4 linked regions of the Drosophila melanogaster genome follow. The protein of the gene in region 1 interacts with the protein of each later gene in a pairwise test. Each region holds a gene or a part of one and is shown in the gene's direction. Other genes may lie near its edges. The genes, in order: Spase25, CG11367, CG18508 and Syx8.

What was found.
Region 2: the proteins of Spase25 (region 1) and CG11367 interact in a two-hybrid assay, tested with the Drosophila melanogaster proteins (one large-scale study listed by BioGRID).
Region 3: the proteins of Spase25 (region 1) and CG18508 interact in a two-hybrid assay, tested with the Drosophila melanogaster proteins (one large-scale study listed by BioGRID).
Region 4: the proteins of Spase25 (region 1) and Syx8 interact in a two-hybrid assay, tested with the Drosophila melanogaster proteins (one large-scale study listed by BioGRID).

The regions. Positions count from the first base shown.
Region 1 is NC_004354.4:11,482,373-11,488,042, forward strand, and holds Spase25 (spase 25-subunit), read left to right. Parts: upstream 1-2,877; 5' UTR 2,878-3,020; coding exon 3,021-3,059; intron 3,060-3,188; coding exon 3,189-3,749; 3' UTR 3,750-4,194; downstream 4,195-5,670. Other genes in the region: Cyp4g15 (cytochrome P450 4g15), read left to right, coding at 1-229, 326-489; Uba5 (Ubiquitin-like activating enzyme 5), read left to right, coding at 1,282-1,562, 1,674-2,607; CG33235 (uncharacterized protein), read right to left, coding at 4,397-5,670. UniProt on the Drosophila melanogaster protein: Component of the signal peptidase complex (SPC) which catalyzes the cleavage of N-terminal signal sequences from nascent proteins as they are translocated into the lumen of the endoplasmic reticulum.
Region 2 is NT_037436.4:22,725,388-22,734,948, forward strand, and holds CG11367 (uncharacterized protein), read left to right. Parts: upstream 1-2,723; 5' UTR 2,724-3,023; coding exon 3,024-3,706; intron 3,707-4,378; exon of another isoform or gene 4,379-4,421; coding exon of another isoform or gene 4,422-6,026; exon of another isoform or gene 6,027-6,213; intron 6,214-6,625; exon of another isoform or gene 6,626-6,629; coding exon 6,630-6,753; exon of another isoform or gene 6,754-7,193; coding exon 7,194-7,355; exon of another isoform or gene 7,356-7,532; coding exon 7,533-7,652; 3' UTR 7,653-8,059; downstream 8,060-9,561. Other genes in the region: mael (maelstrom), read left to right, coding at 1-155, 218-730; CG14450 (uncharacterized protein), read right to left, coding at 1,157-2,090, 2,145-2,329; CG32454 (uncharacterized protein), read left to right, coding at 4,422-6,026; CG11241 (uncharacterized protein), read right to left, coding at 8,067-8,201, 9,522-9,561.
Region 3 is NC_004354.4:3,170,956-3,175,990, reverse strand, and holds CG18508 (uncharacterized protein), read left to right. Parts: upstream 1-2,850; 5' UTR 2,851-2,946; intron 2,947-3,003; 5' UTR 3,004-3,011; coding exon 3,012-3,311; 3' UTR 3,312-3,723; downstream 3,724-5,035. Other genes in the region: CG3939 (uncharacterized protein), read right to left, coding at 1-57, 333-477; Fcp3C (follicle cell protein 3C), read left to right, coding at 1,597-1,648, 1,713-2,323, 2,396-2,581; N (notch), read right to left, coding at 5,010-5,035.
Region 4 is NT_037436.4:16,585,608-16,588,793, reverse strand, and holds Syx8 (syntaxin 8), read left to right. Parts: upstream 1-1,736; 5' UTR 1,737-1,815; coding exon 1,816-2,353; intron 2,354-2,406; coding exon 2,407-2,567; 3' UTR 2,568-2,686; downstream 2,687-3,186. Other genes in the region: CG32163 (uncharacterized protein), read right to left, coding at 994-1,425; UQCR-C2 (Ubiquinol-cytochrome c reductase core protein 2), read right to left, coding at 2,770-3,186.

The DNA.
Region 1 (5,670 bases):
GTTCCATTGATCGCCCGCGAGCTGCAGGAGGATCTCAAGCTGAACTCGGGCAACTACGTGATTCCCAGGGGCGCCACGGTGACGGTGGCCACCGTCCTGCTCCATCGCAATCCGAAGGTCTACGCCAATCCCAACGTCTTCGATCCGGACAACTTCCTGCCGGAGCGCCAGGCCAATCGCCACTACTACGCCTTTGTGCCGTTCTCTGCGGGACCACGCAGCTGTGTGGGTGAGTTGCAGATATAACACTGAAGCAAATTATGTGAATATTCGGATCGTCTATATGAATAATGTTTTGTTTCATTTATTATAATTATTTTTTTAGGGCGCAAGTATGCGATGCTCAAGCTGAAGATCCTACTGTCGACCATTTTGCGGAACTACCGTGTCTACTCGGACCTGACCGAATCGGACTTCAAACTGCAGGCGGACATCATCCTAAAGCGTGAGGAGGGATTCCGCGTGCGCCTCCAGCCGCGGACCAGTTGAACCCCGGTGGCCGCGACGAACATCAGCTAGGCGAACCAGGTGGACCAGGTGGAGCGGGTGGGGCAGGCGGAACAGGCGGGCAGCACACCATACACCGTACACCGCAAACAATAAGCTACACAGAACGGACACTTATCCATACATATAACTCCACTTGTTGGCAAGTGATAGTCACCGGTTTATACAGTAATATTGATAATATTAAATAATAATAAACGTGCTCCCACACTCGATTTATTGAATAGTATAATGATTATTTTTTTGACGCATTTAACACAAAAAGCAACCACAACTATCGTCATCTTCCTTTAATTGTTCTACTCCTCTTTTTTTTTTTTGGTTATTTAATAATTATAATACCTATTTGTGTGTAATGATTTTGACAATAAATCTTTTGTGTAATTATACAAATGGATTTTAGTGGGAAATTTAAATGTTTTCATACAGCAAATGGAGTTGACAGCCATTTGGTTGCTGTTATTACTCGTCTTCTATTTTATGCGTCTTAAAATTCAAATATGCGCGCCATTCGTAGCATTAACCAACACTGTACCAGCTGGCAATGTAAATTGGTATATTTTTGGTATATAACTATCGACCCTCGGCCATCACTAACATGCAGCGTTGCCCCATCCCATCTAACGCAAGTACCAAACTAATTTGGCCATCTGGCAGCACTGGTCAAAAGTGACACGGCGACAACCAGCTTAAAAGCGAAAGTTAACAATTAACAATTGCTGGCGTCCATAGCCAAACACACGAGCCAGAAACTGGAGCCACCCCAAAGCCAGAATGTCGCACGCCATCGACGAACTGCAGGCGATCATCGCCGATCTGAAGACGGAGCTGGAGACGGAGCCGAAATCCAGTGGCGGCGTCGCTAGCAACAGCCGCCTGGCACGCGATCGCATCGATCGCATGTCCGCCGAGGTGGTGGACTCCAATCCGTACAGCCGCCTGATGGCCCTGCAGCGGATGAACATCGTCAAGGACTACGAGCGCATTCGCTACAAGGCGGTGGCCATTGTGGGCGTGGGCGGCGTGGGAAGCGTCACCGCCGACATGCTTACACGGTGCGTGCACAACAAGAAGAGAAGGGCAACAGTCATTGTGCACCACAGCTAGCACTCCAAATATGTTGTCTTTAATTAAAGGCTATGTATTAATCAATTGATTTCCTGCAGCTGCGGCATTGGCAAACTGATACTCTTCGACTACGACAAAGTGGAGCTGGCCAACATGAACAGACTGTTCTTTACGCCCGATCAGGCGGGCCTCTCCAAAGTTGCGGCCGCCGCCGCTACCCTGAGCTTTATCAATCCGGACGTGGAGATTGAGACGCACAACTACAATATTACAACGGTGGAGAACTTTGATCGCTTCCTGGACACAATATCGCAGGGCGGACGGATAGCTGGCCAGCCGGTGGATCTGGTGCTCAGCTGTGTGGACAATTTTGAGGCACGAATGGCAATCAATGCAGCGTGCAATGAACGCAATCTCAACTGGTTTGAGTCGGGAGTTTCGGAAAATGCCGTCTCGGGGCACATTCAGTTTATCCGTCCTGGCGATACCGCCTGTTTCGCTTGTGCACCACCCTTGGTGGTGGCCGAGAACATCGACGAGAAGACGCTGAAGAGAGAGGGCGTGTGCGCCGCTTCATTGCCCACAACTATGGGCATTACGGCTGGCTTCCTTGTCCAGAACGCATTAAAGTATCTGCTGAATTTCGGCGAGGTCTCTGACTATCTGGGCTACAATGCCCTTAGCGACTTCTTTCCCAAGATGACGCTCAAACCGAATCCGCAGTGCGATGACAGAAACTGTTTAGTTCGGCAAAAAGAGTTCCAAGCCAGGCCCAAACCTGTGCTGATCGAAGAGAAGGCAGTCAGCGAAGAGCCGCTGCATGCCACCAACGAATGGGGCATCGAACTGGTCGCCGAGGATGCGCCAGAAAGTAATACAACGCCCGCCGAAACCCCAGTGATGGGTGAAGGGCTGAGGCTCGCCTACGAGGCTCCTGAGAAGTCCAGCGAAACGTCAGAGGAAACTGTATCTGCAGCTACCGCGGACGAAACCAGTCTGGAAGACCTGATGGCGCAAATGAAGTCCATGTAAATTGATTCCGTACTCCGTATTTATAGACACTTTTTGTAAAACACACACTTTTTTTTTGATAAACTCAGCTTCGATTTGTGTAAAACTTGGGCCGAGCCATTTTTTATTTATTTATATATAGTAACTTTTAGTCACTTGATTAAATGCTTTATGCTCAAAATTATTTGAATTACGCGGGAAATTTCAATTCTTGCAGTTTCTAGTATTTCAGTATTTTAAGCTTCCCCTATCTGGCAGCACGGTCAACTAGTCCGTTATCGATTGGCAGCGATAACGATTGACAATTTTGTTGTCGCGTTGTCACACAAAAACGAAGAAAACTCCTGAAAAAAGAAAAAAGAGTTTTTCTGAGCATTTCGCAAACTTCTCTTGGAAATCAAGGGCATCAAAACACAATAGAGAGCAGATAGAAGATGGGCAAGAAGGATGAAAAGTCACAGCAAGGCGAGGAGGTGAGTAAACCGGTTGCCGGCTTGGCATTTGGTCCATTAAGATGTGTTCCACGTCATTGTAGAATGTAAATGTAAACTAAGTGAATATGTGCATAAACTAACTCCATCCTGTTTCATGTGCCCTGCCAGCTGGTGAAGGTCAACAAGTGGGATGGATCCGCAGTGAAGCACGCCCTCGATGATGCAGTGAAAACCTGCCTCCTTGGCGATCGTCCCCAGCTGAAGGAGCAATTCGGCCTGGTCAACACCCGTTTGGCCCTCTGCGCCCTCGCCGTTTCCGTGGCTATAATGGCCCATGCTTGGGACTTCACCCACCCCTTCCCGGAATCCCGTCCAGTGCTCCTCTTCAGTGTTTTGGCCTACTTTGCACTCCTCGGCATTCTGACCCTGCACTCCAGTTTCCGCGAGAAGGGCACCTTTGCGGTGGCCCTGCAGAAGGACAAGGAGCGGGAGCGCCTGTGGGAGGCCAGCTCCGATATGCGCAAGTACGACGACAAGTACCTGCTGACCCTCAGTGTTCGCGACACGAAAAATGGCAAGCGGCGCGAGCAGAGCAGCAACAAGTCGTGCGCCGCCTTCATCGATCAGAATGGCATCGTCCTGGACAACCTGGTGGCCAACGAGGTCAACCGTCTGTTCAACGCCTTAGCTGCCGACAAGAAGAACGCTAGCAGCCTTTCTTCTAATTAAACCAAATTCCCCACTTTTGTCTCATTAAATTGTACACTTTTGTGGTAAGCCGACTGTTTGTCTTTTGTAATAAGCGGAAAAACTATAATATAAAATGAATTCTTTGATTTACAGCTTAACATAAATTGTCTGAATCTGATAGAAACTTAACCAATGATTTGTGGACTATTTTATTATAATTTCATGGGTTCAGCTGCAAAAATCTAAAAGTTAAGAGGGCGGGGATTCCGGTGGCGGCAGAGGAAGAGGAGAGGGTGCCCAAACTGGAACTGGCGGCGATGGGGAAACCCATATTGCGCTGATAAGGCCATTGATATTAATTCCATATTTAACCTGGCTGCCTTCCCAGAAGTTAAACATCAAAATTGGGAGTTGTCGATGTCAAAACGTTTATATATATATATCAATGTTTTTATATTCCAAAAGCTCATATTTGTGACATACTAAAGATTTTGGCTACAAGAGAGTAATGTACGTAATGTAAAGTCTATATGTACGACTAACTCATGTGTTTTTAAAAGATTATTCTATTTGTTATTATATTTATTCACAATGTGGAGATGTCCCAATCCAAGTGTACCCAGAAATCCGAGTGTTTTTGACCTTCTTCCTGCGGCGCTCCGGCTTCCTTTGTCATCATCATCTTTTTATTTTTTCAGATATCTGTATGGGGCACTACGGTTCCTTTTCCCATTTCCCATTACCATCTTCTCTTTAATTTCTACATATTTCTTATGTCTTTCCAAAGCCTCAATTTCTGACATCTTCTGGGCCATTTTCTTTTTCATAATCATCTGCTTTTCTAACACCTTTGCTGCCATTGTATCCTTGGCCGTCTTTAGAGCCTCCAATTTTCCCTTAGCAATCTTTAGTGTCTTCCCGCATTGCCGGTCCTTCGACTTCTTTTTTTGCACTTTCCCCTTGGCCATCTTCGGCTTTTGCAAGTTTAGCTTTTCCTCTTTCTTATTTTTCTCAAGGACTTGCTTTGATGTCTTTCGCCATTCATCAATTTTCTCCTTTTCCATTTCCTTCCTTTCCATCTCCTCTACCATGTCCAGCTGCTCCTGCGTCTCCAGCAGCTCCTTCACCACTTTGCTCTCATCTTCCTGTGGCGACACTTCGGCTAGGGTAGGGTTAGCCACCTCTGCTTTGGTTTTCTTTTTCTCTAAAAACTTACGAGCCCATTCCTTTCCTCCATAAGGATAGTCATTATCCTTTTTATCTGCCAGAACAGGAGCCCATGGCTTCGGCGTGGTAGGACCGACAGCCTCGGTGTGGGCACGTTTTGATGGAGAGACCATGTCATTCATCAATGTTAACTTTCTTTTTGAGCTTGGAATCTTTATCTCATCTTTGCAGAGATTGGCATCACCGCTGGTATCACTGCTGTCCGAGCCTAGAATTATTAATTCATCTTTGTTGCTATTGACAACTAAGCGCTGGGCACCGAATCTGTTGCCTTGATTACGCTGGCTTAGCAAATTGTCCACATCCACTTCCTCCAGGACGCTCTTATTATTGGAGTTACGATTCACTGGCTCCGGCAAGGAGGCCCCGATATGAGATTTCTTTTCCTCTCCGGGTGGAATAATGTCCTTCGTCAAAGTGAAATTCCTTTTCGAGCTTGGAATCATTTTCTCATCTTTGCTACCTTGATTACGCTGGCCTTGCAAATCCAGGACACTCTTATTATTGGAATTACGATTCACTGGCTCCGGCAAGGAGGCCCCGATATGAGATTTCTTTCCCTCTCCGGGTGGAATAATGTCCTTCGTCAAAAAGAAATTCCTCTTAGAGCTTGGAATCATTTTCTCCTCTTTGCTGGTATCACTGGTGTCCGAGCTTAGAATTGTTAATTCATCTTTGTTGCTATTGACGCCTTGATTACGTTGGCCTAGCAAATCCAGGACGCTCTTATTAT
Region 2 (9,561 bases), on another chromosome or scaffold:
AAATCCAGGTGTTTGATATCCAGTACTTGCTATTCATATTGAAGAAGGAGGTCATGAATGTCGCTGATTTGAATGACGAGAAAATCAACAAATTCGCGACGGATGCTTTTTTTAAGAAAGACTTTTTCGAGTTTACCGCAGGGATTGCGTGTCAGGTAAGATTCTGTTCCCAATTCTGATAACCCCTAGTTGACTTCCTTCCTGATTACTTTTGCAGTACCACGAGGATAATGATCGAACCAAGTACTGTACCCAGAGTATGGTGACTAGATGGGCGTATACCTTCACTGATTTTATGTGCGGAGACCTGGCCATAACCGTCCAACCCGGAAAGCACATACCTGCCCAAACAAAACCCAACTACCTTATCATAAGCTCGTACGCCTCCTCACTCGACCACGAGTCCTCCTTCGACTCTTTTTATTCGCTTCCCGGATCTGGGGTCAAGAAGGAAAGCCAACCCGAAGCTTGTTCGCTTTCTAGCAGTCGACTTTCCGTCGCATCAAGCTCCTACAAGCCCATAGACCACACTTCCTTTGCCGCAAATTTAAACGAAGTTTCTGAATTCCCCAGCCTCGGCATGCGTAATTCTAGTAAGCATCACGGTATCGCCGCTAGTGCTCAGCGGGAATGGAACGCTAGGAACTTACCGACGCACTCGCGTTTAATTCGGAAGGTTTCAGACAACGACTTCTCCGTAAACGGCGCTGATGGGAAACTTAAAAAATAAGCCACTTTGGTCTATCAATTGGACTAAGAAACAATGATTCCTTATAGATAATTTTCTTATCGCATTAAACTGTACAAATACTATTACTTGTATTTAAAAATAAATTCGTTCAAACGGACAGGGCCAGCATCAAGTATTTATTTATTTTAGTTCTGCTAAATAAATATTTTTAAGACCTAATATGTGGGCAGTAATGAAAGAAAGACATGATATTTTTGATGGCGACAAATTCTAATTAGCTAAGTGGGGCCAAGCTCAAAATAATCTATGTTTATGGTATTCCATGGAAATGCAGTTGTGCCATTAGAAACTGCTCCTATTAAAACCCCTGTTAAATATTGTGCATAAAATTGTTCAACGGGTCATTATAATACAAAGTGCAAAGGCCAAAAAGAGTCGAGTTCATATTCTTACACTTGTAGCTTTTTAAGTGGCTCGACTTGGAGAGGAGTTTTTAGAGTTGCGAGATACAGATGCAATGCTTTGCGGATCTTGCTGAAGCACGAGACGAGTAAAGGCTAAGCTGAGGAGAAGTGCCTGGCCTAGAAGCTCGCGCTGGTAGCGCTCTTGTTGTGAGAATTCGAGGCGTAGGTCAGCGGGAAAGTCGATCTGTTTGTGCAGCTTCAACGGGGGCTCTGTTTCGGGGATCTGATGTTCCACGTTGTAATGGGTTCGCATCATGGCCAATATCGTATCCTCGGACGACACGCGCTCAGTACCCACCATGTGATTAAATAGTCGGGCTGAGAGAAAACGTCGCATGTAGTAGACGTTGTTCGTCTTGTTCTCGTCGCCATCTGATCGGGCCATCAAGGAGAAGCTCATGATTGCGGAAACCTGGGCCTTCTGGATGTTCACGTTCTGTTGATCGATGCTCCCTGGGTTGCTGCTGGCCTGGGCCATTTGTGGACTCTCCATGACGTAGCAATCGGCCACGGGTATCTGGTGAGATACATAGAGGCATCGGCGGGAAAGTTCTGACAAATGCAGCTTCTTGTCGTTCAGCTCATGGTGCTGCCAGTGCGTGAGCAGACAGGGAGCTTCGTTGCTTCCGATCTTTAATCGCGCCCAGCTTACACTGGTCACTCCGATGCGCACCCCTACAGCAGATACAATACGTGAACGCTGTCCCTCGTCCATGGCCGGTGTTATAAAGGGCGCGACTCGTGCAGTCTTTGGTCTATTTTCCCCTACTTGTGCGCTCCCACTGCTCGGCGGCGCAAGCAGACTCTTAAAGAACTTGGTGGTCACCTTCAGTCCGAATCCCTCCACATACAGGATGTCGCTGAGTTCCTGCAGCGGTCCGTGACGGTTCTTCCAGTTTTGCAGCTTGGTTGCCCTTGCCTTGGTTATGTCGTAGCTGGGCGGGATAATCAGTATTTGTGCAAGGCAAAGTGCAGGAGTGGCTACCTACTTGGCTATCTGATTCATGCTGCTTTCATTAATCGTCTTCAAGATCTTCAAACGATCTGCATCCGAGTAGGCGGGCAAGAGGCCGATGGCTTGGTCACATTCCGGCTGACCCGATCTGTGTTGCTGCGTGGACGAAAGTCTTAGGCATTTTGTCGTTACGCCCAACAATGATCGCCGGCACAACATATTTTCCAGTATATGATTTATATTTGTTGTTACTTAATTTGATATCGTCTATACAGCTGTTCGGTTAGTGGGACCAAGCTCATTTTTTCAGTTTTTCTAATTAATCGATATACAATGCTACACCATCGACGGCTACAAACAATTTATAGCAACTAATTGTTAAGTGAAAAAGATGAGAGAAAAGGCATGTATTTCACACAGCAATCATTATACATTTTAGGTAAAACTACAAAGGAAATAATTTATAAATATAATATAAATCACATTATTAATTAATTTTTAAAGAAGAAGAAACTGGAGCAGTCCGTATAGTATGGCTAAAGAAAAATGCTAAAATCGCAGCACTGCACGCTCTCTGTCCTCTCACATTCTCTTTCACTCTCGCTGCGGGAACTCGAAGTTCCAGTCGGAACGTCAACGTCGAGTGGGCAGTCGTACGTCGATTGTTGAGCGGCTGTGGCACATATATAAACAATAAATACAATTCGTAATTTTAATTGAATTAAGACAATAACAACAACGGTTTCTGGGACTCGGTTGCCTTGCCATATGTGACACAAAGCACACACATGCGACCGTAAACTCAGAACTCTGTATTTGCGCGAATGTGGGTGCATAAAAGTGAAATTTCACAGCGACAAGTGGAAAAGAAAACGGAGAAAGGCAGAGCTGTGGCCAAAAGAAAATCCTGGTCATGTCATGCAACAATAACAACAACTATAAAAACAAAACCACGTACGGCTATTCGAACAACAATGATACCAACTGCATCATGCAGAAGCCAGTGCCCGCCTCCACCGCACCCGCCTTCCCTCAGCTGATCCAGGCCAGCTGTTCCAACGCCGTGGAGGTGGATCCACCAGACAGCATTGTGGGGGCTGCCGGCAACTCCGAAGCTCTCTTCGCCGCCCAGCGCACACCGGACACGTCGGAGGACAGCGAATGTGACCCGTTTCTAGCCAGTCGGAGAGCTACCCGCTCCTCCGCCACCACCTCTGTGCTACACAACCGGAAGCGCAACTCGTGTTGGGGACGAGCCCACAGCTTTCTCACCCGCAACTGGTACCTGGGCTGCTTAGTGCCCGCCACCATTCTAGGCGCCCTCGTCTTCATCGGATGGGCGACGCGGGACTATGCTCGCCAATTGCTCTTTTGGATCGAAATGCAGAACGCCTGGATAACATTTGCCGTCTACATGGGGCTCTTCGCTCTTGTCAGCTTCCCCGTGGTGGTGGGCTACTTCGTTCTGCTCATCACCGCCGGTTACCTGTTCGGCTGCCTGCGCGGTTGGGTCACCGTGATCCTGGGCGCCAATATCGGCATAGCCGTGGCCCATGCCACCATTCGCAGCTGCCGGCACCGCATTCCCGTCCAAAGGTGAGTTGCGCGTCTGGTGACACTTCATCGACTTCTTAAAATCATATATTTATGCGTCTTTAGTTTAAAACTGCTTCGATATTCCAGAAACTAATTTGTGCACTTTTACACGTCATAAGCGGCATAAAGCGTAAAATTTAAAAAGCTAAAAATCGAAGCTCCGTTGAAAATACAGAGTTTATTTATCTGTTCGTTGAGTAGTGTTAAATACTACGCATACAAATCCCCAACTGTTGAAAATTAGGTGTACTATCTTCTAAAGTCATGCGCTTTGCTCTTGTAGGTACACTCCGTTGAAAATAATTAATTGTGTCTATGTATCCTTGATAAAGATCTCCAACCGATTCCATTTGTCCGTTTGTCTGTTGTGATTTAACAAACTAATCCGCGCAATTTGGTTTTAAGTCATTGCCGCGATCACAAACGCAGTAACCTGTTCTACACTTCTTAAAAAATATTTCAGTTTTTAAATAATAAATTCATCTCTCCAATAATCAAGAAACAGTGGTCACGCACAAAACGTTAATATTTTTAATACTTTTAAGCGGAAAACTGATCTTTGTATTGACAAGTGCTACAGAGTCCATATGCCCATTTTACGAGTAGTACATATTTAAATTTATTGCGATCAGGGAACCCTATCTTCCATAAGTCTCGCTTTCTTGTATCTAGCCCTTATATTACCCATTGCTCTGTGTGCTTTTTGTATTCTCCAATGCTGCGGTTTCTTCGAAATTTTAAGTATTATGCCTGGCAAGAGGTGCGTCGCGGTTGTTCCGTAGTGGCCCCACCGGATAGGAGTGATGTGCTTCTGGTGCTGCCAACGGTCTGGCCCTCCGAGCTTACCAAGAGGATCCGCCCGCTCTCAGTGCCCGACCTGATCGAGAAGTTCTCCTGCGATGCCCCTGGCGGACAGTTCGCCACAATGTCCGAGTACCTGCGCAGCGATCCACGGCCCGACGGAGTTCTCCTGCCGGATGAAATTGATCTGCACCGAAAAATGTCCCTGGACGACCTTAATTCTTATATGCACGCGAAGGACGCATTCAAAGAGCCGCACAGGAAAAACCGCATATTTTCGCACGTTCTTGTGGTGGCCGGAGCTGACTCAGCTCGGAGTTACCCCTTTCGGCAGAGGCCTGACTTCCTCTATCTTTGCGACTGCTTGAGACCAGGGGCAGCATTGGTTCTCACCCGCAGCCGAAAGCGAAATACTGGCGCGTTGCTCTTTCTTTCCCAGGATGTGGACTCCCAGCTGTCCACCATTTTTAGCCATATGCACTACGTGGACGACGTTCTGCCCCTCGCAATGCTTAAGAAAAGTTTACTCTGGCTGTTAAGGGATCACTCGCCCGAGCTATGGCACTTCTACGACCCATCGAGTCCTGTCAGTTGTATAGTGCAAGAGGTGGCTAATGAAGCCAAGATTCCTATGGGCAATCCCCGATACATCCTCCAGTACACACGCACCGTCAAGACCTCGCGGGAGCTGAGAGCCCTGCGTCGGGCTAACGCCACCGCTGCGGACTCCATGGCGGAGGTAATCGCACAGCATCATCAGATTCCTCAGGAGCTGGCCGCTTCATTTGACTACAAGTGCCGTTTGCGCCACGCTCGTCCCGACGTGACAAAAACTTCGTGCGGATTGGATGGCAATGGGCTGTGGCAGATGGACGCTGGATGTCAGTACGGAGGCTACGAGGGGGGACTGGCCAGATGCTGGCCCAGCTCGGGGCGATTCACGCCGCCCCAGAAAATGATTTATGGTGCGCTGTTGGACATGCGTCGGGATCTGTGCTCGTTGATACAGTACGCAGGATGTGAGGGTGCCGTCCGCACACCTCTGGAACTGCACGCCGCCTATTTAATCCTTCTGGCTCGGCACCTAAGGGAGCTCCGCGTGTTGCCTAAGGGTGTCAGCAGTGCAGCCGAGACAGTGGAGTTGGCTCGCAAGTACAACTGCTCCCCAGTCGTGGTCTCGCACGTGGGTCTGGGAAAGCGAGACACCAGTCGCAGACTCCTTGACTATCCCTTCGCTCCCGGAAACGTGATGTCGCTGCGGCTGTCAATCTCTATTCCCGATGACTGCTGCCAGGCCTACCCCGAGTTCCGGGGCATTCTTTGTCAGCTTGGCGACACCCTGCACGTCCGGGATGATTACTCCGTGGATCTACTTACCGCCGCCTGCCCCAGCGAGCCCCAGGACATAGAAGTCTGTCTACCTGCAAGCCGAACCAGATCGCATAGATTGCGGAATGACGGTGATCAAAGTGGATCTTGTGACACACGACAATTGCAAAGCCACGGTGACGGCGACTGAGCAAATACATTTGCCCAAGGAATATCTGATAAGGGCAGTTATTCCGCAAAATCGATATCGCGTATCCACATCGCCGGTACATATAAATGTGTTGTATGTTTTGTATATAGGTACTAAACGCTCATTTGTCATTAAACCCGTTTGCAATTAAAACCCGCCTCATTGGGTAAATCCCCCTTTAACGCTCAGTCGGTTTTGATCTCCTTATCAGACATTTGTCGCGCCTGATAGCAGCAAGCTTTTAATTTCCGACAATTACTAAACTAGGTTCCAATACCCAGCGGACATAATTAATCAATTACAGAGGCTTATGAATTTTCTTTAAAAATAACACATTTATTTAACATCACATTTACCAAATAGGCACACCTAATTAAAGGTTATTTGTGTGATAGCATGAAATCAATGCCTACCAATTTTTATGAGGGAGCGTAAACTGTTTCATCGACGAACGGTGGAACTGGCTGATAGCCCCAATAATCATTTCCTGATTGTTGGATAAACTCAATTAGAGTCAGTAGTTGGGTGTAATTATGTATATATGTACATATGTATACTTAATAAATTAAGTGATGAGACCCGTTCGATTGCATCTATTTGCAGGCTGATCAAGAATGATACGGGACGAGCCATTCTTCGCGTCATTTCTGGCCCAAAGGCATTTCGAGTCGTTCTCTTTACCCGACTTACCCCCATTCCCTTCGGAGTGCAGAATGTGATATTCGGAGTAAGTGACTAGATTTTGTCAGATCTATTGTTATTCTTGAACTTGTTGTTCAGAAAAGGGCGAGTTCGAAATATCTAGATATTCTCTTATTGTTTGCCAATTTGTCACTTCAAGAATTTTATTTATTAACTTTAAGAATTCGAACGTAAAATTAAATGGAACAAATTGAAAATGGACCAAATATTCGTCACACTGACATGTAAATAAAATTTTGCAAAGCTTTGTGAATCTATATGAATAATTATTTATACTGCAATATTTAAATAGCTAATTATACGAATAATACAGAGACGGTTACGTTGTATACCTAATATATGTGCATATTCGTCAAGTTTCTATGCAGTTAAACTGAACAAAAACCAGTTTTCCTTAAAAATTAGGTGCTAAATCATGGCACGCTTAAACCATTTAGTTTCTATATCACACTATTATTTTCACAGATCAGTTCCATCAACACAAGAGACTACCATGTGGCCACGCTGATTGGTTTGCTGCCAGCCCAAACCATCAATGTTTACTTGGGTTCCACGCTAAGGTCCATGCATGAAGTGCTCAGTGATAACGATACCAAACTGACGGGGTATATCAGCTTCCTGTTTGAGGTATGTTCGCTTTGGATCGCAATTGACCTCTTCTTAGATCATATGCCTAATAGTTTTTGAGTTTGTACATTTGAATTGCTTCATTATTGCTGTTTAATAAGTCCACAAGCTCTTTGTTTAATTATCTTGTTTTATCTTAAGTTATTTAATCCACAATGTGTCTTTTGTGTCTTTAAGGTAATTTGCGGCGTGGCCTTGATGTTCTGGGTATTGCAGAAGGCCAGAAAGGAGCTGTCTGAGACGTTGCTGAGCGCTGATTACAATAACGAGGGCAAGCATCCCGACGTACAAGTTTAACAGGAGCCACTTGGGGAACGGAGTCCTACAGGACCCCCAGCCAAAGAGAATCTCCTGGACTTTAACAGAAGACTGCGTTTTTGCATTACCTAGTTCAAACTAAGGCGGTTTTCGAGTTGTTTTATTTATTTATGCTCAAGGCAATGCCATTGAAACCAAACATTAAGCTAGCCTTAGCAGATACGGATTCAAATCACACTCGTTCCCTAAAACTGTATGAGGGTGTGTCATGCTTCACATCACACATTACTTCTAAGAATTCCTGAGATGTACATTTATAAATAAGTCAAAGCCTCGCTCAAAGACCGCTAGCTCGAAGACTCGATTGTTGGTCATAATGCTGCTCTATAATGTTGTTCAATTATTAGTTTGTAAGCGAATAAGCAAATAAATGAGCTCTAAAGTACAACTTTTCTACATCATCATTGTGCTGTTTCTCCAACTGCGAGGGCTCTTGCTCATATGAAATTTAAACGCTTCCTCCAGTGTCTCCAGGGCAAATTCCACGTCTTCGGCACAAAGACACAGTGGCGGTCTCATGCTCAGCACCTGAAGAGAAGAGGAAACTTCAAATAATGCGAAAATTATTATTATATTAATGACCCTCCGTCCTACAGTGTAGCATCAAAAAATGTAATCTGGAAATTTTACATTTCATGGGATCTTTTTACTGGTCAAGGCCAGGTACTAAATTTAAAACTGAAACAACAATTGTTGTTCTAAAAGATTGTGCTTTAGGAATAACTTGTAAGGTAATTGTCAAATAATGTTCGTGCGCTTAAACTTTTGAAAATCTACATTGGTACCCAATTTTTACACGTTTAATACGTGCTATATATGTAGTGCATACTTTCAGTCATTTTGTATTTAATGCTTATGTTGTGTCAAAATTTTATATGTATATCCTGCTACCAATAATTTATCCTTTTCGAACCGTCCAAGATGCTAGAATTTGCATTTTCAAAAAGATAGAGCTTGGGAATGTCTTCTGATTTCTATATAAATAAATGGTTATACCGATTTTTAAGATAAGTGGGTGAGTACATTTAGAATGGTGCGTATGCTGATCGTAGATTATAGCCATATTCCGAGCTTAGGGTTGCCAAGTAAATTACAATTTGGAATCGAAGTGCTGAGGATTATTTTTTTTTTTCATGTGCAAATATCAACTTGAATCATAAAAGTGTACACGTGTGCAATCGAGGTTTTAGAGAATCCAAGAGTGAGTTATGTGTAAGTTTGACAAGAGCGTTTGAGGGATCAATATGGAACTACTTCACTCCCACAGATGGTAATGGCAAAGATGCAAGGTAATCTGGCTAGCAGTAGACTGTGGATTTTCTGGGGTGATTTGCCCCGCCCATTTGGGAAACGCAGTAACATATACTAGTCTTGTGGGATCTTCAACAATTTAATGTATAAAAACCAATTCTTTTAAATATTGAACAGTTGACGATTTAGAGGTCCATAAGTCTTTGTTAGGAGTAACTACTTAGAGATCTGCTTAGATAGCTTAGATAGTTAATAAATGCAGCTGAGACCATCCTACAAACGCTCTCCCGTGTATGTGTACTCGTCTTCTCCAATCTTCATTAGTTATTCTCGGGTAGAGTCTCCGTGATGGCCAGGGCCAGCACATCCACGGCGAACTTGGCATCAGCCAGCGTGATGCACATGGGAGGCTTAATGCGCAGAACCTGTGGAAATGGAAGGGAAATGATGCACACGTAGAAACAGGAGAAGATGATCAAAGAGTCGTTCTCGGTGGAGACTCTTCAACGAACACGAATTTTTGTTAGTCGGACGTGCAGTACGAAGACAAACGAGCCCAAATGAGGATGAACTTATCCCTCAAGAAGGCTCACTTACGTTTCCATGAAGACCGCCGCGTCCAAGGAGCACTCCTTGG
Region 3 (5,035 bases), 8.3 Mb from region 1:
GGATCATGCAATCCGCCGGCGCGTGGTTGCGAAAGGCACTCATGATAGTTTCCTCGGCTGGAAAATATCAGCGATAATGGGATTAACTTAATGTATGTCACTTCTTTATGTTATGTTATAACTCTGCGATGAAATGAATCGAAATGATGAGGACAATGTACAATGTAGATGGAACTCTCAATGGAGAGCGAAAATCAAATCAAAAGTAACTCAAGTTAGCTGGGTAGAAAGTAACTAACTGAAACCCACAAATGAGAAGCGTGATAAGCAGAATGTAGAGTGCCCAACTGGACTAGTAACGCCCCGCTGGGCGAGGAGAATTCGTCACCTACCCGCCACGCAGTCCGGACACCAGCTGCGTCCGTCCTTGTCTTTCTCGCCGTAGAAGTAGATGTAGATGGGGCTGCGCTGGTTCTCGTACAGCTTGATCAGATTTTCCATCTCCTTGAAGCCCCGTGCCGGCACATATTCGGGCATTTTGGCAGTGTATGGGATTTCTGGATTAAAAAAAACTTGGACGTCTTGAACGGCGAGTTGGCTGGTGTACAAGTAAATTCCGATTGCGGCGATTTCGATGCGGATGGCAAACCCAAAATTTAATTCCAATCTTATCTGGATCTTATCGCTGGGTGTTACGGATCACTTAGCCGTTGCTTATCGGCCATCGGTAAGTTTATCGGGTAATTAATGGCGTATAATTTTGTTGTTTGCTGTGTTTTTCGATCTGTTTTGTTTTCTTTTTTTTTTTTTTTGCGGCAAGCTCCAGCAACTAGTATATTCACCACACTGCCTGTCCAGCGAACCCACCACAGCCGGCTGTGTGTGCGTGCTGTTGGGCGCACCGTGGTGAGTACGGCACTGTTAACCGTTTATCGAAACTCGAATTTTGTACTTAAATCATTTGAAGCAACGATAATTTTGACATTTTTATGGCATAAATCTATAGGATTGTTGAGTTTAACAAATAACAAACATTTAAAACTTCGTTCAAGATACATATCGATAATCTGTATTTATATTTCAAATGTTGGCCGCCCAATATTGATTGGTATTTCTGTTAAGTTCCATAAACAGCGCAAAAAATACTAACTTAACGAAAAACAAACCAAAAAATGAAAATTAAATTAAATCTATAATTAGATTAAAAACCAAAGCTTTGCTTATGTTGAAATGTTTGTTAATATTACCATATTATAACTTGTATAATTTGGATAATAATTGCTGTTTAATCGGCCGTTTATTTATGTTATCCATTATGTTATTATAATCATAACAGTTTCATTGCAGTTTGGCGGGATATTTAAAAAGATTTTGGAAAGTAGTTTAGAACGGTAAGGTAAACTTTGTGCAGCTCAAGACACAACTTTTGGGTTTATTGATTACGCATAATTTTCGGAAGTAATTCTTTTTCTTTCTTCTCACTTTCCTCCAAATGAATGAATTCCACTCGCTTTGTGTGAAAATTCTGCTTAATCAGACTTAACCCTGACACAATTTTGCCGGTTCTCACAACTTGAACTTCGTTGGGGGCCGACTAAAATGGAAGACCGAAATCTTGAAAAACTGCAAGCCAAGTAAGAAAATGGCTTATATAAAATGGATGGCGCAAAGGCAGAAGTATTCAGTGTTTCCGTAGATACCAAGATGGGTAAGCTTTGAAAGTAATATTAGCTAAAGAACACATTTCATATCGTATATATTTCATATATCAGGCGCCTTTAAAAATTCCCTGCTGCTGCTGACACTTCTGCTAGCCATCCATTTGGAGGCATCCAAGATAGTCTACAAGAAGCCGCTCTATGGCAATAGCAACATCATCAAGGACAAGCGTATAAAGACGAAGCCCGTCAAACTGGAAACCAGCACCATGAGCAGCACTGGTGTTGCAAGTAGCAGCACAACAGCCGAAGAGGATTGGCCCACGGCCGTTGAGTTTGTGATTATGACAACGCCCGCAAGCGAATTGGAAGCCAGCACGGAAACCATTGGTAACAATGGCACCACCGAAACGACCGTTGGCGAGGCACCCATCATCGGATCGTCGGAAGGATCCACACGATCGATGGAGCCAACCACCGCGAGTCCGCTGATGAGCACAAACCCATCGAGCAGCAGCAGTCTGGTTAGCACCATTCCCTTGCCACCGACAGCGGGACTGCCTGTGCAGGATAATCAGCCAGTGCCGTGCACATGCGGCGTCTTCCTCTCCTCGCAAATCCCAAATGGCTTGCCGACAAAGCCACTTATCCACCAGGAATTGGATCATATGTTTCCCTGCAATGCCATCGGTCGCAAGCAGTGTCAAACCAAATGCCTAGAGACGGTGAGTACTGGGGAAACGAGGAGGAAAAGATGAGGAGAAGCGCTCTATAACTCACCATTTCGTCCATTTTAGATCGTACAACATCTGCCGAATTCCGCAAATATAGTATGCTCCGCACTGGGTCACGATTGTCACAAGGAACGGGCCTATTTGTTCATCAAGAACTGTCACAATCAATGGGTTAATACCAATCTGCAGGCGGGCAGGGAGTACTGTTGTCGCTCTGGCGTTCCCTACCGTTGCCCATTGATGGGTTAAGCACTGTGCAAATGAAATAAATATATGATATGACAAAATTTCAACTGTATTGTAAATGCGCATGGTGTTAAAAAATCTAAAAAAAAAAGCAAAAAAAAAGCTAAGGTGTGCACATAAGGGTTAATAGATTTCAAACGGTTTGGTTCGAGTCCGGACTATATTAGTCCAACCGGTTGCGTTCTTTGCTAGAGAGTACGTATTTTTTTTTTTTAAGATAACAGTATATGCGTGGCGTTTTTAGGCTCAATACCAAACACAAGTGAACTGGCTACACTGACATTTTTGACAATAAATAAATAGTTGAATTAAGGAAATCAAAGCGAGAAATACTTTTTTTCCGGAGCCAGTAAGCTAACATTAAATAGGTACGTTCCGCAATTGTTGTAATCACTTGCAACGCCAATAACTAACCATTTTTAAAGCCCGAACAATGGTTTGCGTGCCCTGTATTATCATTCCACTGCTTCTGTACATTTGGCACAAATTTGTGCAGCCGATCCTGTTGCGCTACTGGAATCCCTGGGAGAAGAAGGACGACGATGGCAATGTGATCAAAAAGGGACCCGACTTCCCATTCGAGTGCAAGGGCGGCGTTTGCCCCTTCGTTCCGGGCGGCAAGAAGACGGAGAACGTCAGTGATGACGATGCCGAGGAATCTGAAAATCCGCCATTGAATGCAACAGCAATGGCAGCGGAAACGGAAGTGGACGAGTCCAAGAAGGAGATCTAGTCGAAATGTTCCAAATATTGTAATTTAACACATAGTACATTTTTTTTTTTTTGTTATGTTTTGACATAAGAGCGGAAAACACAACGCACACAACACAAGGACACAAATCCAACGTGGTGGGCGGCGATCGTTTGGTAAAGGAGGGGGAGGGGGCGTGGCCCTTGAAGAGCGGCAAGAACGTCTAAAGTATAATTAACTTGCAATTAAATGTACACTTTGACACGCGAAAAAACTGCTCTTTTCCTGCGGGTTTGTGTGTGTGTGTGTCAAGAGTTAAAGGTTAAAGGTTAACTCCACGCAGTTCCAATATGAAATATGGTATTTAAACTTTGTTCCAGCTGCAACAACGCAGAGCTGAAAAATTCGCCTTTATATGTTGTATATGTATATAATTAATGAAATAAACACACGGCTTTTAAAATAATTATTTAATATTTATTATTTATGTCAAAAAGTTTGCAGTTTCGTTTTGCTGTCTGGCTGTTTAAGTTAGGAAAACAAATAATTTTACAATTTACACATTAAAAACTTACACACAAAATATAGACGAAAGAAAGCAATACCGTTCAAATTAAAATTAATGCAAATCGAACGAGAAAATTCGTATTTTGCAGTTTTCTCTAAGTGTGTGCGTTTTTTTTCTTTCTGTTGCATATTTTTTGAAAATATCTTTTCATCAACTTAGATCGTAGATCGTCGAGTGTCCTTATATATATAGTAAACTTGGCTGGTTACTGTCTTTTTCGTGGTTTTTTCCTTTTTTTTCTTCTTTTCTTTCTTTCTTTCAATTAGACTTATACGTTTCCATTGGTGATTTTTGTGTAATTTTTTTTGCAAATCCTTTTGTATTTTGTATGTGTCAACTTAAATCAAACAGTTATGAGAATCTTTTTACAGTTTAGCTTAGTCAATATGTAATAATACATAATAGTCATAATAATAATAATAATAATAAAAAAAAAAAACTTGGTGTAAAAAAAAAGGTTCGATGCGGTGTACGGTCTAACAATTTTGTTTATATAAGCACTTCAGTTTCAAAACCTACAGAACTACGAAATTTATGTATTTATATATAGCATGTGGGGCCATAATTAATAATGTAGAATTCGATAAAAAAAACTTAGCGTAGTCTTATGGCCTAGTGATATAATGGTCACTTACAACTACAAATTGTCCCACAAACGTTTAATCGATCCAATCAGAATTTGCGCTAAGTTTAGTTGCTCATCTTTTTATGTTGATTCTTTTGTTTTTTGTTTTTTTTTTTACTGGAAGCTACGATGACGTTACGACAATAAAATAAAATGCGCCACAAGACGAGCTCTTAACTGGTATATCTATGAGTAGATATACATATATCTATATCAATATCTATATATATATATATATATGCGATCGGCGCGCACTGTACAACAAGCATTAAATAAAATTTAAGTTACTACAATTTATGACGCTTCTTCCGCTAGAATTGCGTATTTCGCACTAACATCTAAAACTTATAGACACACTCAAAAAAAAAAAAAAAGAGTCGTTGGAAAAAATACATAATCCGTAGAGATTAGAGAATTACAATATATAGCATATTTTAGATCGAACTTAGCCGCGGACTCTTTAAGAGTCCCCTTTTGCTGTTATCCTTGGCAAGCCATCCAATTATCCTTGCGCGATATTCAACATACCAAATCATCCAGATCACGGTCAAATGTAGATGGCCTCGGAACCCT
Region 4 (3,186 bases), on another chromosome or scaffold:
CAGCGGACCGATGGCTTGCCTTGCCTTTTCGATTTCCCACTCCCGCGCGGAAAACGCTCAAAACGGCGGATGCGCTCGCTTCCGATTAGTGGGAATGCTCGCGCACGCTTGTACAGGCACTCGGCATTGTGGCCAGCGGATTTTGGTCGCGATTTGTTTCCTTCTTGGTTGTAATTTGAAACAAATAAAATAGAAATCACGACTAAATAAATTGTGTGTACGTGTGAGCTAGCGATGGGCGATAGTTGCGTACCTGCTACTAGTCGCGATTATTTCACCGTGACAAGTCACCGCTTTGGCGGCATGTCACGACTCCATATTTTTCAAGTACAAAATTGACGTAGCACAGCAAATTTTAAACAATATGAATCAAGCATACCAATTGCATACTACTTTTATGAAATCCTGCAGCATACTTCCAAAATATTTATAAATAGCGCTCATTGTAACCCAGTGATTTCTTCACACCTTGTGTCACAGCCATCGTAGCCCAATGCATGCATGTGTGGGTGAATCGTGTCACCATATCGATACCGTGACTTTGTCCACCGCGCCGGGCCGGTCCCAACTATCGTATGTGCGTGGGTGGCCGGAGTCTGGCAACGCCCTTTGCTAATTTCAGGGTGGTCACACAATGCAAGGTGGTATATATGGAAATTAACAATTTTTTAAAATATATTGTGAAAACTAGTTTACATATTTTAAAGAGGTAATAAAACATTTGTTTTTAGAAGCATAACAAAATAGCTTATATAAGAAACCGTAATTTCGTCATTAAATATAATCTGTTACCTTTCGGTTTAGAAATTTTGAAATAATTTAAAAATAAGCCAATTCAAATTATTTTCATGTAATTTTTCAAAAACCGAAGGAATTCAACAAATCTGAACGCAAATATACGTTTATATGTATGGTGTCTATGTGCATAGTGGGGGGATTTATTTGTGTTCAGTTTGATTGTGTCGACAATTTTGAAGTTTTGTTTTCGGTTCCCTAATTTAATATGTACTTGGCGTATTGCGGCTCATACTTGTCGATGTAGTGCTGGACAAACCGACACCTTATAATAATGAAGTGCCCATTCAACAGTGCGTAGTCCAGTGCCGACTTGGCCAGTAGCTTCCCAATGCCATGTCCGCCCAGTTCCTCCGGGACGTTGGTGCTGTTGATGGTCATCACACCGTCCCTGATGGAGTATACCAATACAGCCCGGAGCTCGCCAATGTCGGTGTAGAACCGACCTCTCTTATGCCGGACAACAATGTGCGTACCAAAACATCTTTCCTGCGAATTTAGGTTTGGAACCTTTAAAATTTGACCAGTTAGGGTGTGGTTACTTGTGGGGATGGTGTAATCTCTCGAGCACAAGGAATACGTTCTTCGGCCACCTTGCAGAATCAGAATTGGAAGCAATTTGGAAAGCATTTCTTAATTTTTGTGAGTAGTTTCAGGAATTCGGGCCGAATAATCATACTTCACATCATAGTGACGATTTTCGAGTGACCAGCTTAAATTATTTAGTAAATAGTTCACACTAGCAACGCACCTGCGAGGTGAATTGATAAAGGATTGGGGATTAATCGCGGTGCATTTTTCCAGCTTATCTACAGCTACATAAGTATAATATCTAAATCAGTTCAAACATTGAAGATTATTTCCGAATCCCTTCTTACTGGCAATGTGACCGTACTCGCGCTTACTTATTTTGCTACCAGCCATCAGCTGTTGCTCGGCTATTGTTTTTGTTTTTGTTACTTGGATTGCTGGAGGCGTAGTTTTCTGCTTTTGATAATTACTCATAGCAAAAGCAGAGAAATGGCGCTGGTGGATCACGATTCCTGGGACATCGAGTACGAGGGCTGCGAGCGACTGCGGCATCAGCTGCTGGTATACCTCAACCAGCGGCAGCAGCTCAATCCGAGGACGAGCCAGTTCGTCCAACTGACAAGCAGCATTCAGACGGGAATAGAGCAGCTGGCCAAGGACATGAAGCACCTCAAGGTGGTGCTGGACAACGCCATCACCTGGGAGACGAGCCCGGAGGAGGAGCTGCAACAGCGGCGCATCGACTGGGATAGACTTACTTCGCAGCTGCGCGAGATCCGCGAGAAGTTCGCAAACAGTAGCCGCTCCAATGTCCCGGCCGCATCCGGTTCTGCTTGGCAGGATCAGGATCTCGGCCCAGGTCACAGCAATTCCTCGCGGAATACCGCCTTGGATGTGGAGGCTCTGAAGCAGAAAAAGACCGAGATGCTGGCGCAGCAGAACGAAGGACTCGAGGTTCTATCAGCCACATTGTCCAGACAGCGCCAACTGGCCACACAGCTGGGCAACGAGGTGGAGGACCAGAACAGTGGGTATTCCCCAGTCCCTGCACTACCAATGCTAATCCCTACCTCCTTGTAGATATCCTTGACAACTTGGCCAATGCCATGGACCGTGTGGAAACGGGTGTGCAGCGGGAAACACAGAGCATTGGACAGGTTAACCGGCGGGACAGTACCTGGGGCTACTGGCTCGTCATCATAGCCTTGTTCGTCGCCATCATTGTCGTGGTCTTCGTCTAGCTCCCACGATCCATTCCAGTTGTTATACTACTTTATACTATGACCTGCGTGGAATGTCTATCTGTTAACCCAAAGTTTGATTATTTATGTATACACCAATTAAAGTAGGATTTATAAGTATTTACGTTCGCGGATCGATCCCCTTGATCAGGTTTATTTAGTCGTTACATTACGGTTAACAGATGTACAGGTGTTTATATACTTAAGCCAAATCGGAGGCGTAGGGCACGTTCGCCAGGTGCCCGATGGCGCCGACGGCCAGCTTGGAGCTGCCCACCTTCTTGGCCGCCTCCTGGACCTGCGACTGCGAGATGCCATCGATTGCGCCAAGCAGGGCGTCCGCCTCCAGCACGTTCCGGGTGAGCGCCGCCTGGCGACCGATCTCCTTAATTAGACCACCGTCCGACGAGTAGCGCGAGATGATGCGCGCCTTCAGAAGAGCCTTGCCTCTGGCCACATCCTTATCAGACACCGAAGCCGACTTCAGGCCGCGCACCAGGAACTCCACGGTCTTGCCAATGTCCTTGGAGTCGGCGGAGACCACAAAACCGAACAGACCAGCGTCCGAGTAGCTGGCATTCACAGCCTTGACAGAGGCTCCGACGCCGCCGGCGCAGTT